Canis lupus familiaris: one gene and its partner. Each later gene encodes a partner of the first gene's protein in a complex. Links are inferred from orthologs where the notes say so. Each region holds a gene or a part of one and is shown in the gene's direction. Other genes may lie near its edges.

Region 1 (5,613 bases):
ATAGTTTTGCCTGAACAGTTCACTAGTTCTTGGACCTAATTAGAAATAGTAAATCATTCACCCTGTTTGTGTTACTATTTCCACCTTCTTAAAATGGAGGATCTTGTCCCTCTTTATCTGCTTCAGCACTGTCATGATGAGCAAATAAGAGTATATTTGAAAATTCTGAAAACAGATACTTTATACATGTAAGGTGTTACTAGTCTGTAGCAAAGAGAAAATTACTTCCTTTTAAGCAAATTCATTTAGTATACCTGTGGAGCTAAGATTTTACAGAAGTTGTCATGGGAAATCCACTGTGTTGGGAGTCAGGAGTGTGGGTTCTAGTCCTGGCTCTAACTAGTTCTGTCATCTTGGACAAGATGATTAGCCCCTGGGTCTCAGCTTTCTTTTCTGTAAAATTTCAGGTGTTTGACTGAAACTGTATAGGTCCCTCTGGCCCTAAGTTCTCTTAGCTAAGGCTTGGTTGTCCTGGTTGCTGGGTAGATCACTGAGACACATATGAGTGAGGCCTTCTGGAGTTACCACCTGTGCTTTTCTCTGAGTAGTGGATTTTTGTAACTGAGCCCCATAGTGGGTAAGAGGGCCACTTGGAGAGACCTACAAAGACCTGTGGGATGGTGGGGAGAATATTCTGTGCCATCTTTTATTCCTTATATATAACTTGATAGAAAGAGGTCAGTGGAGAGGAAGTCTTGAACAGGTAAAAAATCTAGAGTCTCCTCCTTTCCTCTCTCACCTCTCAAATCCCTTGCCTTATCGAAAACTTCTTTTTCTTACTCTCAGATGCTCTTCAGTATTCCTTCCACTCCTCTCCACAACGGAGAACTTAATAATTTTAAAGAATTTTAGAGCCAGGAAAGATTTGTGCTGTCAAGTCAAAGCCTCTAGTTTTACAAATGGGGAAGTTGAACTTCTAACTAAGAGATTAAGTTCTGTGTTCAACATCATTCAGCTTGTGGCAGAAGTAGAACCCACATCTACTGACTTTTATTTTAGCAATTTTCAGATAGACCACATTATGAAATTAAAGATTCATTTATTTTACTGAACTTATTTTAAAAGTCTTGAAAGTATAAACTTTATTTACTCTTTATCCTGATTGAGTTTAATGATAGGAGTTTAGCATTAGTGAGTAATGCTGATTACAAAGAGGAAGGAGAGCCTGGGTGAGCTGTGCTGTGGGTGGATGGGTAGAGCCCTTTGGGCTGCCAAAGGGCAGGAGCAAGGGTTACAGACTTTGGGAAGAAATCGAGAGGAAGATGAGATGATCGGAGAATCAGACTTCGTTGTTTTTATTTATTTTTTTTAAGATTTTATTTATTCATGAGAGAGAGAGAGAGGCAGAGACACAGGCAGAGGGAGAAGCAGGCTGCATGCAGGGAACCTGACATGGGGACTCGATTCTGGGACTTCAGGATCACGCCCTGAGCCTAAGGCAGGCACTAAATTGCTGAGCCACTCAGGCGTCCCCAGACTTTGTTTTTATAATTTTTCTCCCTGGCATCCATCAGTAATCAGTGCTTAGACTTAGTTAATATATTAGTACTGATTTGCTAGCTAGTCATCCACTTTCTTAAGGAAATTCTAGATTACAAGACTAGACTAGTATGTTATGGTCTTTTCCCTCTAGTCTCCAACCTTCTGCTGGGAAATAAATGTAGTAAGAGTGACTGTAGTTTGTTGAGTACTTAACCACATGCTGTTCCTTTCCTTCTGTCCTGATTTAGTATTTGTAAGATTTTCTTAGATGTGTCAAGATGGCATCCCTTTCAATTGCTAAGTTTTCTGCTATGACTGTAAGGTGCTGCCTCTTGGGAACCTTCATTCACTTTTAAAAATCTCTCTCTCTCTCTCTCTCTTTTTCTTTTTCTTTTTTTATTATAGGGGGTATAACATGTATTCTTTCACTAATCTGTGCCTTGGTTCTTGCTTACTTGGATCAGAGAGCAGAAAAGATCCTTCACAAAGCACAAGGAAAAACAGGTAGGTCTAAATGCAAGAAAAGTGGGCTTTGGGGATTTGCGGAACTTTGAACATAATTTACAATGAGATAAGTTCCTTATGTAGTGTTATAAGACCAGTGAGGCTTAATACATGTCTTTTATCTTTTATTTTCCAATCTGTTTCAACTTGTCTAAATTTTGGAGAACAATTTTTTTTTTCACTTAAGCACTTTTGACAGAATTTACATTCTTTATTTTTTGTTTTTTTATTTTTATTTTTAGAATTTACATTCTTGATTGCACTTTGTGTATTTGGAAAATGATGAGTGTTCCTGGAAGACAGCAGGAAAGTAGACAGTAATCTTAGGTTTTGCTTTTTCTAATGTCTTTTTAGATTTTCCCAGAAGTTATGTTCCAGTACTTTACTGAGAAAAGTGTTTTGTAAACTGAATGGCAAAGGTTAATCAGTACTCTTGACCTGGGTATGCAAAATTATGCTCATAGCTTCTTCCCTTTCTTTTTAAGGTGAAGTTATTAAGTTAACTGATGTAAAGGACTTCTCTTTTCCCCTGTGGCTAATATTTATCATCTGTGTCTGCTATTATGTGGCAGTGTTCCCTTTTATTGGACTTGGGAAGTGAGTATTCTCTGGCATTCCATTGTTGTTGCTAAATTATAATGAGAATTTAATCACACAATTGCAATTTTTTTAGCTATAAATCTTGCTTTTCTGGTTATAGTTTACATTTACATAGGAATTGTTTTACATCCTGGGATATAACTGATTTTCTTACCTTATAAGGGTTAGTATTTGGCTTAATACTTTCATTATATTTTTGATGAAATATAACAGTTTTGAATCTTAATAAAGATTTATTTTAATACTTTGCATTGGATTAGTATTCTTTTTTTTTTTTTTTTTTTTTTTTTAATTTCCTCTTTATTCCTTTGTTTGGAAGCCTATTCTTAAGAATGGAAATAGTGCTTTGACTCATTGTGCCATGCCTGGGCGCATTTGCTAGGACTACATTATGCCAGGGTTAAAAATCAATTTTTTTTTTTTAATCACTTAGCTCTGCCTTTCCCCTGGCAGCTGCTCGAACAGAGCAGTATGTTGAGTGTGTTTATAGGGGTGTGTCTTCGTAATCAGAACCTTTAAATTCAGAGTGTTTTAAATTATTTGAGACAAGATCTCTAGGCATTATTTGGCAAAGAACCTATCCAGTCCCGCTTTAAGGAAAAGAAGCACTTTTAATTTCATGTAGTAATTCATTTGGTATTCTGAAAACTTATGTGTACTGTTTGTTTATTTAAAATGAAAAAAGTCAACATCAGGGTATTTTATTTAGTGAAATACATAAACACTAAAGCTTTAACATCAGTTGCTTAAAGATGAATGTTAGATCAGGTAAGAAAATAATATCAAGAAGGAAAAGTTGGTTAAACTTAGAATTATTTTAATTTAGTTTTATTTTGCCTTTAATTATTAAAAAGCAGTTCTCTCTAAAGTACTTATTTCTCTCTCTCTGTCTCTCTCTATTTTAGAGTTTTCTTTACAGAGAAATTTGGATTTTCCTCCCAGGCAGCAAGTGCTATAAACAGGTATTTCATTAATTCTGTGAGTGCTTATTTTGTGCATAGGTGGGTCTTTAATTATAACCAAATGTTCTAAGAGACAAAGAATACGTGTAACTTAACATCCATAATACGAAATCAACATTATATTGGTACTTGATCCTGAGAGACCATCTTTGCATTAATGGAAAACTGAAGAAATCTTGGGCTGCTCTTTAATCTTTAAATTTCTGTTTACTGGGGGTGCCTGGGTGGCTCAGTGGTTGAGCATCTGTCTTTGGCTCAGGTCATGATCCTGGGGTCCTGGGATTGAGTCCCACATCAGGCTCCCCACAGGGAGCCCGCTTCTCCCTCTGCCTGTCTCTGCCTCTCTGTGTGTCTCTCACAAATAAATAAATAAAAATCTTAAAAAAAAATAAAAAGATACTATATTGTAATACTGTTTACTGATGACCATTTTATTTTATTTTTTTTTCTGATGACCGTTTTAGAAGAATGCTAAATTAAATGAGCTAGGGTTTGCTTTACCTGATGGTTTTAGGGACTTCTTGGATTTTTTTTTTAAAGCTGTTATGATTTTATTAAATATCTTTTATATTCTTTGGGCAGTATTGTATATGTTATATCAGCTCCCATGTCCCCGATATTTGGGCTCCTGGTGGATAAAACAGGAAAGAACATCATCTGGGTTCTGTGTGCAGTGGTGACCACTCTTGCTGCCCACATCATGCTGGCCTTCACACTGTGGAACCCTTGGATTGCTATGGTAATGTCACTGTTCATGCTGGCAGGGCTTCAGGGAAGACTCTGTAAAAGTGCATGTCAGGAGCCACCATATACTCATTCTGATAGTAGAGCTTGTGAAAGGGGAAAAACAATGCCTTCAGTTTCTACAAAATAACTATTTTAAAAGTAAATTTGATTACTAATGAATAAGATATTTTTAATTTTATTTGGCTTTTTAACATAGTAATCTCAGTGCTGAAATAGAATTTGAGATAAAGTAGTCTTAGGAAAGCTAAAATGCTTATTAGTTCCATTTATTTTTCTGTACTTCTTTAAAAGAAATTCTTCCATCATAAGTGGCAAAAAAAAAAAAATCTTTCTGCCCATGATTCATGATTTTGCATTCTTTTGACCTTGATCCTTAGAAGGTTAAAAAAATTCATCAGGGTTTTGTTACTCTTTTTTAGAATGTCATTTTAAAGACCACAGGCTGAGATGTGCTGCATTTCTTGACTATTAACAAAAGAATATCTTGAACATATATGTTTGCACTTAGTGAGATTTCTTTAGGACAGATTCCTGGAAGTATAAATGCTATAGCAAAGGTTTTGCACACTTAACATCTTGATAGACGTTGTGAAACTTCTCCTCTAAGAAGTTCTTACCCATTTATAGTTTTACCAATAATACACAAATGTGCATTTTTTTAGTATCCTAGTCATGTTGGGCATTGGCCTTATTTTAACCTTTGCCAATATAATAGGTGTAAATGATCTTATTTAAACTTAAATCATAAGGCTTCCTTTATAATTAAAAAGTAACACTAGGTAATGGTTTTCTACCCTGCTCTCCAGTTAGGCGTTGATGACCTGAGGTAAGATAATAGACTTTTTGGCATGGTGTTGCCTTGATTGCTTAATTTGTAAATAATAAATATTGGAAGATTAACTTTCCAGAAATGTTGGTAGTAACTTTTTGCAAATTAGCTTTATTTTCTTGCTTAGTCCTTGATTGTACCCTGGGCCCAGTCAGTTATAAGCACACATAATATAAAATGGTTAAGACAAGGGATCCCTGGGTGGCTCAGCAGTTTAGCTCCTGCCTTTGGCCCAGGGCGTGATCCTGGAGTCCCGGGATCGAGTCCCACATCGGACTCCCAGCATGGAGCCTGTTTCTCCCTCCTGTGTCTCTGCCTATGTCATAAATAAATAAATACATACATACATACTGTGTGTGTATTTTGTCACTAGAGGGATACTATTAGAGTCAGGACTTTCTTGTATCAAATGTGAGTTTTAGTTATAATCATAATAAAATATGCATGAATATTCATATATTTGCTAATGATCGCAGATTGGCTAATTTG
Region 2 (6,343 bases), on another chromosome or scaffold:
TCTTGTTTCTATTTCCCCCAGTCAGTTCCCAAAGTTGATACCTCAGATGATACAAGTACTTGTCTCAAAAAAGTTTTTTGAGAAAACTTGAGTTCATCCTAGAGTAGCCGTTTGGGGGAAAAATGAAATTGGGTCCCTACTTCATCCACTGTTTGCAAAATTAGTTCCAGGCAGCTGAAAGATTCTGATACAAGAAAGTGAAACTAGAACACATGACATTTTTTACTATATCAGAGTGGGAGAAAATAAAAATTTGCATTGTGAAAACAACAAACAGGAAGTAGGGGGTTGCAGATGCGGTGATATTTGTTCCAATACAAAAAGTAATTTCTTTAAAGAAATTTTTTTTGAGGGCAGCCCTGGCGGCGCAGCGGTTTAGTGCCGCCTGCAGCCTGGGGCGTGGTCCTGGAGACCCGGGATCAAGTCCCACATCAGGCTCCCTGCATGGAGCCTGCTTCTCCCTCTGCCTGTGTCTCTGTCTCTCTGTCCCTCTCTCCCTCTCTGTGTGTGTCTCACATTAATAAATAAAATCTAAAAAAAAAACAAAACTTTTTTTTTTTTGAGATTTTATTTATTTATGAGACAGGCAGAGACATAGAGGGAGAAGCAGGCTCCCTGTAAGAAGCCCAATGCAGGACTCGATCCCAGACCCCAGGATCACACCTTGAGCTGATGGCAGACACTCAACCACTGAGCCATCCAGGCATCTCTCTTTAAAGAACTTTTAAAACTTGGCAGTCAAGGGGCGCCTGAGTGGCTCAGTCTGTTAGGCGTCTGCCTTCAGCTCAGGATTGTGTTCCCAGGGTCCTGGGATCAAGACCCCCAGGCTCCCTGCTCAGCTCAGTCTGCTTCTCCCACTCCCTCTGCCCCTTCCCCAGCTTGTGTGCATGCATGCTTTCTCTCTCTCAAATGAATAAAATCTTAAAAAAAACAACAAAAAGAATTTGGCAGTCAAGGAGATAGGGCCCATAGAAATAATAGGCCAAGGGTGTAAGCTCCAGAGAAGTGACAAACACAGAGCTAATAACATTACTTGTTAGGGACATGCATGTAAGTGTGAACACTTAATGAAGCCCCTCTGGTACGTGGCCTGCCCATCAATAGACCTCATACACAGGTCAATTTGCCCTGGCAGTTTGAATCCTGGCTGCTTATCTTCTATATTTGGATTCAAATGTATATGAAATGCTGTACATACAGAGAGATTCATTTCAAAGGGAAATTGGGAAGTACCACAGTTATGTTAAATGTATCCCTGGGACCTCCTCCTGCAGTAATATACTTAAGTGGAGAATGAGTTCCAGGTGCAGAGAACAGTCTTCAATGTGTAAGTGAAAAAGAAAAGCAAACTGCAGAAGGGTGTTTGGATTCCATTGCATGGTATTACATATATGTGCACACACGCAGTGTGCGTGTGTACACATTGTGTACAAAACATCTTTTTTTTTTTTTTTTCAAGATTTTATTTATTCATGAGAGACACACAGGCAGAGATGCAGACAGAGGGAGAAGCAGGCTCCATGCAGGGAGCCCAACGTGGGACTCGATCCTGGGTCTCCAGGATCACGCTCTAGGCTGAAGGTGGCGCTAAACCGCTGAGCCACCCGGGCTGCCTTTGGTTTAGTTTTATTAAGTGGGCTCTGCCCAGCATGGGGCTTGAACTGTAGGCCCCAAGACCAAGAGTCGCACACTCTACCGACTGAGCAGGCCAGGTGCCCCTGCATGGAACATCATTGGAATGACACTATTACCAACGCAGTAGTTGTCTCAGGACCTGGGTTGCTGGGGAATAAAGATGACAGACCCCTTTCACTACCTTAGGAAGTTTGTGTCATAGGCATTTATTATTAGTCAAAATAATTGTTTTTTAGTCAAAATAATTTTAAGCAAAAACATCCAAGAACAACAAAGCGATTTATTCAGCCAGATATGAACTCTGACAAAATGTATGTGGTGTTCTCAACTATTTATTGAAGTATCTTTTCTCCGTAATAAAACTGAGCTCTTCTGGGACAGGAACCTGCATTACTTAGGGGCTCAATAAATATGAACAACTGGCAAAATCAACTGGGCTATACTGTCCCCCGCCCCACCCCTAATTTCTGCAGATTCTGCTCTTCCTTCTCTACAGCACAGTTGGCTTATTGGGATCATTGGGATCTTGGAGTCCGACGTCATGGCCATTACAGGTAGCCAGTGTGGCCAGTTGGGTAGGAGAGGCCGTATGGCTACGCACCTGTCTAGTCTGGGGTGTCTTGCTTGGAGCCCTGCTGGGGATGACAAGCTCCTAATTTCTGGGGTTATATTCTCTCTCCAACCTCAACTGGCTCAAGGGAGTTGTCTCTTTAAGAGCTGGTGGCAGCCCCGCCCCACAAGGAGGTCAGCTGGGTGTGTGAGTCACATGACTCCCAAGTCTCTTCCGCCCTCTGCAACTGGGGCCTCATGTGCCGCCATGAGGGGCCCCGCTGGGGCTGCGGGCGTTGTGCCCCCAGTTCCATGCTCCTCCTGATTCAGCTGCTGTCTGCAGCCCCGTTTGGCCTGCTGGGGGAGGAAACTCGCCAGGTGAGGGGCTAGAGCAGTAGGTGTTCCTGGAAATGCTACCCTGGGAGGCACCCAAGCGGCAGGGCTGGTGGGGCACCGCCAGGGCCCTGGGACAGGATTGTGGACGAGGGGGACTCCCGGGCTCCCTGTCTTAAGGGGACACCTGCCAGCGCCTGACTCAGCCCTGAGTGACCCAGGTCCAGCAAGAGTTGGGCTGCTTCTCACCCCTGGCCCCGTATCCTCGTCTGCCTGCTGGAGTCAGGGTGGTTGTGGCTCTGGCCGGCTCTCCAGGCCACATCCCTCCAGCCGATGCCTGCGCCTCAAACCAGATGCCCGAGTTCCCACACCGCGTCTCTTGCCTTTCCCCATTGTTCCCCAGCTGCTCTGTCCTGTGCCTCTTTCCTGACCTCGTTCCCTTGACCCTCCACTATGCCGTATTCCAGGTGTCTCTGGAGGTCATCCCTGACTGCCGAGACCCCTCCCCGAACCTGCTCCACATCCGGGCAGTGGGTAGCAACTCCACACTGCACTATGTGTGGAGCAGCATGGGGCCACCGGCAGTGCTGCTGGTGGCCACCAACACCCCACACAGCACCCTGACTGTCAACTGGAGCCGCCTGCTTTCCCCTGAGCCTGACGGGGGCCTGACGGTGCTCCCCAAGAACAGTATCCAGTTTTCTTCTGCCCTTGTCTTCACCAGGGTGAGGAGGTTGGGGAGAGCCAAAGGGGAAGAGTGCTGAGCAGAGGGTTCACCCGGGCCCAAGGTGGGGACCGAAGACCAGGGTATGGGAAGTAGAGTCAAGCATAGGAGCCATGGGGCGGGGGTGGCTCTGGGGGTAGCTAGACTCAGGCAACTCCTGTCCCATCTCACCCTGCCTGCCAGCTGTTTGAATTTGACAGTGCCAACACATCTGAGGCGTCAGCCAAGCCTCCGGGAAAACCGTATCCCCCGTATTCCCTGGCGGAGTTCTCTTGGAACAACATCACTGACTCATTGGATCTCGCTACCCTGAGCGCCACATTTCGAGGCCGCCCCATTCAGGACCCCGCTGGGGCCTTTGCCAATGGCAGCCTGGCCTTCAGGGTAAGGGTGTGGGGAATGAGAGGAACACCAAAGGCTGTTTTCTGAGGGTGGGGGTGGTGGCCTTCACATACAGGCAGGTCCCTGCTTCCCATGCCTCGCCCGCTTCCCCCATCCCAGGTGCAGGCTTTCACCAGATCCAGCCGCCCAGCCCAAGCCCCGCGCCTCCTGCATTCAGCAGACACCTGCCAGCTAGAGGTGGCCCTGTTTGGGGCCTATCCCCGGGGAAACCGCTCCCTGTTTGGGCTGGAGGTAGCCACCTTGGGCCAGGCCCCCGACTGCCCCTCAGTGCAGGAGCAGCGCTCCATTGATGATGAATATGCACCTGCAGTCTTCAAGGTCAGTCTTCAGGCGGAGAGGCGGATGGGTGGGGGATGGTAGGACTTCAAAGAACCATGTAACCAGTTACCAACTAGTGGTGCCATTCAGCTCATTCAAATGCTGGCCACTGTGCTGACCCAGCCTCTGCCTTCAGTGGGGAAGACAAAAGGAAGCCAGGCCTGGGGGCCGGGGGTTGGGGGAGCCTGGGGACCTGGGGCTGTGAGCTGAGTATAGGCTTATGGACGTCAGGGCTGGGAAAGGACCCAGTGTTCCCGAGCCACCTCTCTTTCTACAGAGGAGGGGCAGAGGCCCTATGTAAGCAGCCTTGGGGGCAGCCTAGGCCTTTGGACAGTTGGTAACATTTGGGAGGCCGGGAAGGGTGGAGGAACTGGAGGGTGGGCAAAGGTTGGTCCTCCTCATCCTGTTGTTTTTCTCCCAGTTGGACCAGCTGCTGTGGGGCTCCCTGCCCTCGGGCTTCATGCAGTGGCGGCCAGTGGCTTTTGCCCAGAGGCAGAGGGGCCGGGAATCATCCCTGCCCTGCCAAGCTTCCCCTCTTCGCCCCACCTTGGCATACCTTCTTCCCCAGTCTCCCATCGTCCGAGCCTTCTTTGGGCCCCAGACTGACTTCTGTGCCTTCAACTTGACATTTGGGGCTCCTACAGGCCCCGGCTACTGGGACGAATACTATCTCAGTTGGTGAGGGCCGGGGCAGGCTGGGGCTTTGGGAGTGGACGTGGGGGTGCCTGGCTTCCTGGTCTTCCTGCCTAACCTACTTACCTGTCTTTCTCACTCTCCCTGCCCTAGGTCAATGCTCCTGGGTGTGGGCACCCCTCCAGTGGACGCCTTGTCCCCGTTAATCCTAGGCATCATGGCAGTGGCCCTGGGTGCTCCAGGGCTCATGCTGCTGGCAGGAGGCATATTTCTGCTGCTGTGGCACAAGCAGTGCTCCCAATACCAGCCTATAAACTGAGGCCCACTCTCTGGAGGACGGGACATTAACTAGTGGGCCTGTGTTGCTGGTCTGCCAGTTGAAGGGTTAGCTGCTCCCTTCTCCCATCTTGCTTTTCTGCAAAACCTCAGGGAACCCCCAGGCGGGGCTTCCATCATACTCTCAGGAGGGACCAGCAACAGGGTGATTGCTAGAGGTGGGGGGGGGTCCCTTAGTGATACTCCTCTGCCCTTCCACCATTTTCCTGGCATGAGACTCACAGACATAAATCAAAGGCCTTCTGATTGGTTGGCTGCCCCAGAAGGCACAAAATAGACTTATTTTCTCCCTGGTGCTTGTCTCAGTGTGGATGTTGTGGGCAGGTGTTAGGCTGGTTCCAGGAACCAGAGGCTGAGATGTGGGCATGGTAGACATGTCTCCCCTGGTGCGCCCCTTTCTCGTCACCAGGCAGACACTCCTCTCCCACCAACGGGGCAGCAGCTTCTGGTGCTCTCTGGGTCAGACGAGGGACAGACACCTGAGAGTGGGGGTCAAACATGAAGAAAGAGCCAAGGAAGACTGGCAGCCACTTCTCGTCACCCACATGCTCCCACGGGGTTGACATCAGCTGTTGGGCCCTGCAGCCAGTTCCTGGCCACCACGTGTGAGGGCACACACGCATGTACACTTGCACACACACCCCTCCCCCTCCCCTGAGGCGGGCCTCTTCTCCCCCCTGTACCTCTTCCCCTGGGAGACACATATTGTGGGCATTTCAGAGGTGGGAGGTTACAGGGGCCTAACTGGGTTGGAAGACAGGAGACCAGCTCTGGGCTGGAGCAGCTTTAATTATCTGAACTGAAGCTAAAGGTCCCACAAGGGCCAGCAGTGGAGGGTCCTGAACCCAGGCCCTCCAGAAGGTTTTCACCAAATGTGAAAGTCCTGATTGATCGGATGCCCAGTGTTTTTCTTCAGCCTGGGCAAGGTTTCCACTCTCCCTGCGGCCCTCTACTTAGACAGTGGCACAGAAACGGCCAGTTTGGCCGTAGCTCTGCCCGCTTGAGGCCTTGCAGGAGGCTGGAGGGTGGGGCAGGGTCCTGGGGGCAGTGCTGGGGCTGCTGGGGAAGGAAACACGCCCTTGCTCCTGGTGCCCTACCTGCAGCATGCAGAAGGGACATAGCTGTCCATCTCCTTCCCCACAAGAAACCAGTCAAAGTCCCTCTCTCATGACGGCCCCGGGCTCCTGAGGTGAAGGGCTACACCAACGGGGGGAGCAGGGACAGTCGGGGCAGTAGTGCAGCTTCTCCCCCGAGGTGCCAGGGCTGGGCTGAGGCTGCAGAGGCCTCAGCCCCAGGGCCTTGGCCTGTGCTCCGAGGCTGAGCGGGCATGGTCGGGGTAGTCCAGGCGGCTCTCAGCCGCAGTTAGCATGCGCTCAGGCTCCACCAGGAACATGTAGTAAAGGTTCCACACCA

What was found. The genes of interacting proteins can lie anywhere in the genome.
Region 2: the proteins of MFSD1 (region 1) and GLMP are in contact, whole or in part, in a cryo-EM structure (PDB 8R8Q), measured with the Mus musculus proteins. The link is inferred for Canis lupus familiaris from reciprocal best matches to the Homo sapiens genes MFSD1 and GLMP. Residues at the interface, in NP_080089.1 of Mus musculus: Val288, Glu292, Lys293, Arg295, Phe349, Phe351, Leu411, Asp412, Lys414, Gly415, Tyr416, Leu417, Leu418, Val421, Ile424, Ser428, Leu432, Val435, Leu439; in NP_064387.1 of Mus musculus: Glu250, Asn252, Ser253, Ile254, Asp255, Asp256, Glu257, Pro260, Ala261, Phe263, Gln264, Arg292, Phe364, Leu367, Val368, Ile371, Met372, Ala375, Ala378, Leu381, Met382, Gly385, Phe389.

Annotation. Positions count from the first base shown.
Region 1 is NC_049255.1:25,267,355-25,272,967, forward strand, and holds part of MFSD1 (major facilitator superfamily domain-containing protein 1), read left to right. Parts: intron 1-1,887; coding exon 1,888-1,986; intron 1,987-2,471; coding exon 2,472-2,583; intron 2,584-3,491; coding exon 3,492-3,548; intron 3,549-4,130; coding exon 4,131-4,287; intron 4,288-5,613. UniProt on the Homo sapiens protein: Lysosomal dipeptide uniporter that selectively exports lysine, arginine or histidine-containing dipeptides with a net positive charge from the lysosome lumen into the cytosol.
Region 2 is NC_049228.1:41,568,822-41,575,164, forward strand, and holds GLMP (glycosylated lysosomal membrane protein), read left to right. Parts: upstream 1-2,402; 5' UTR 2,403-2,442; coding exon 2,443-2,562; intron 2,563-2,984; coding exon 2,985-3,242; intron 3,243-3,424; coding exon 3,425-3,625; intron 3,626-3,742; coding exon 3,743-3,961; intron 3,962-4,382; coding exon 4,383-4,639; intron 4,640-4,747; coding exon 4,748-4,913; coding exon of another isoform or gene 4,914-4,942; 3' UTR 4,943-5,225; downstream 5,226-6,343. Other genes in the region: TMEM79 (transmembrane protein 79), read right to left, coding at 6,216-6,343. UniProt on the Homo sapiens protein: Required to protect lysosomal transporter MFSD1 from lysosomal proteolysis and for MFSD1 lysosomal localization.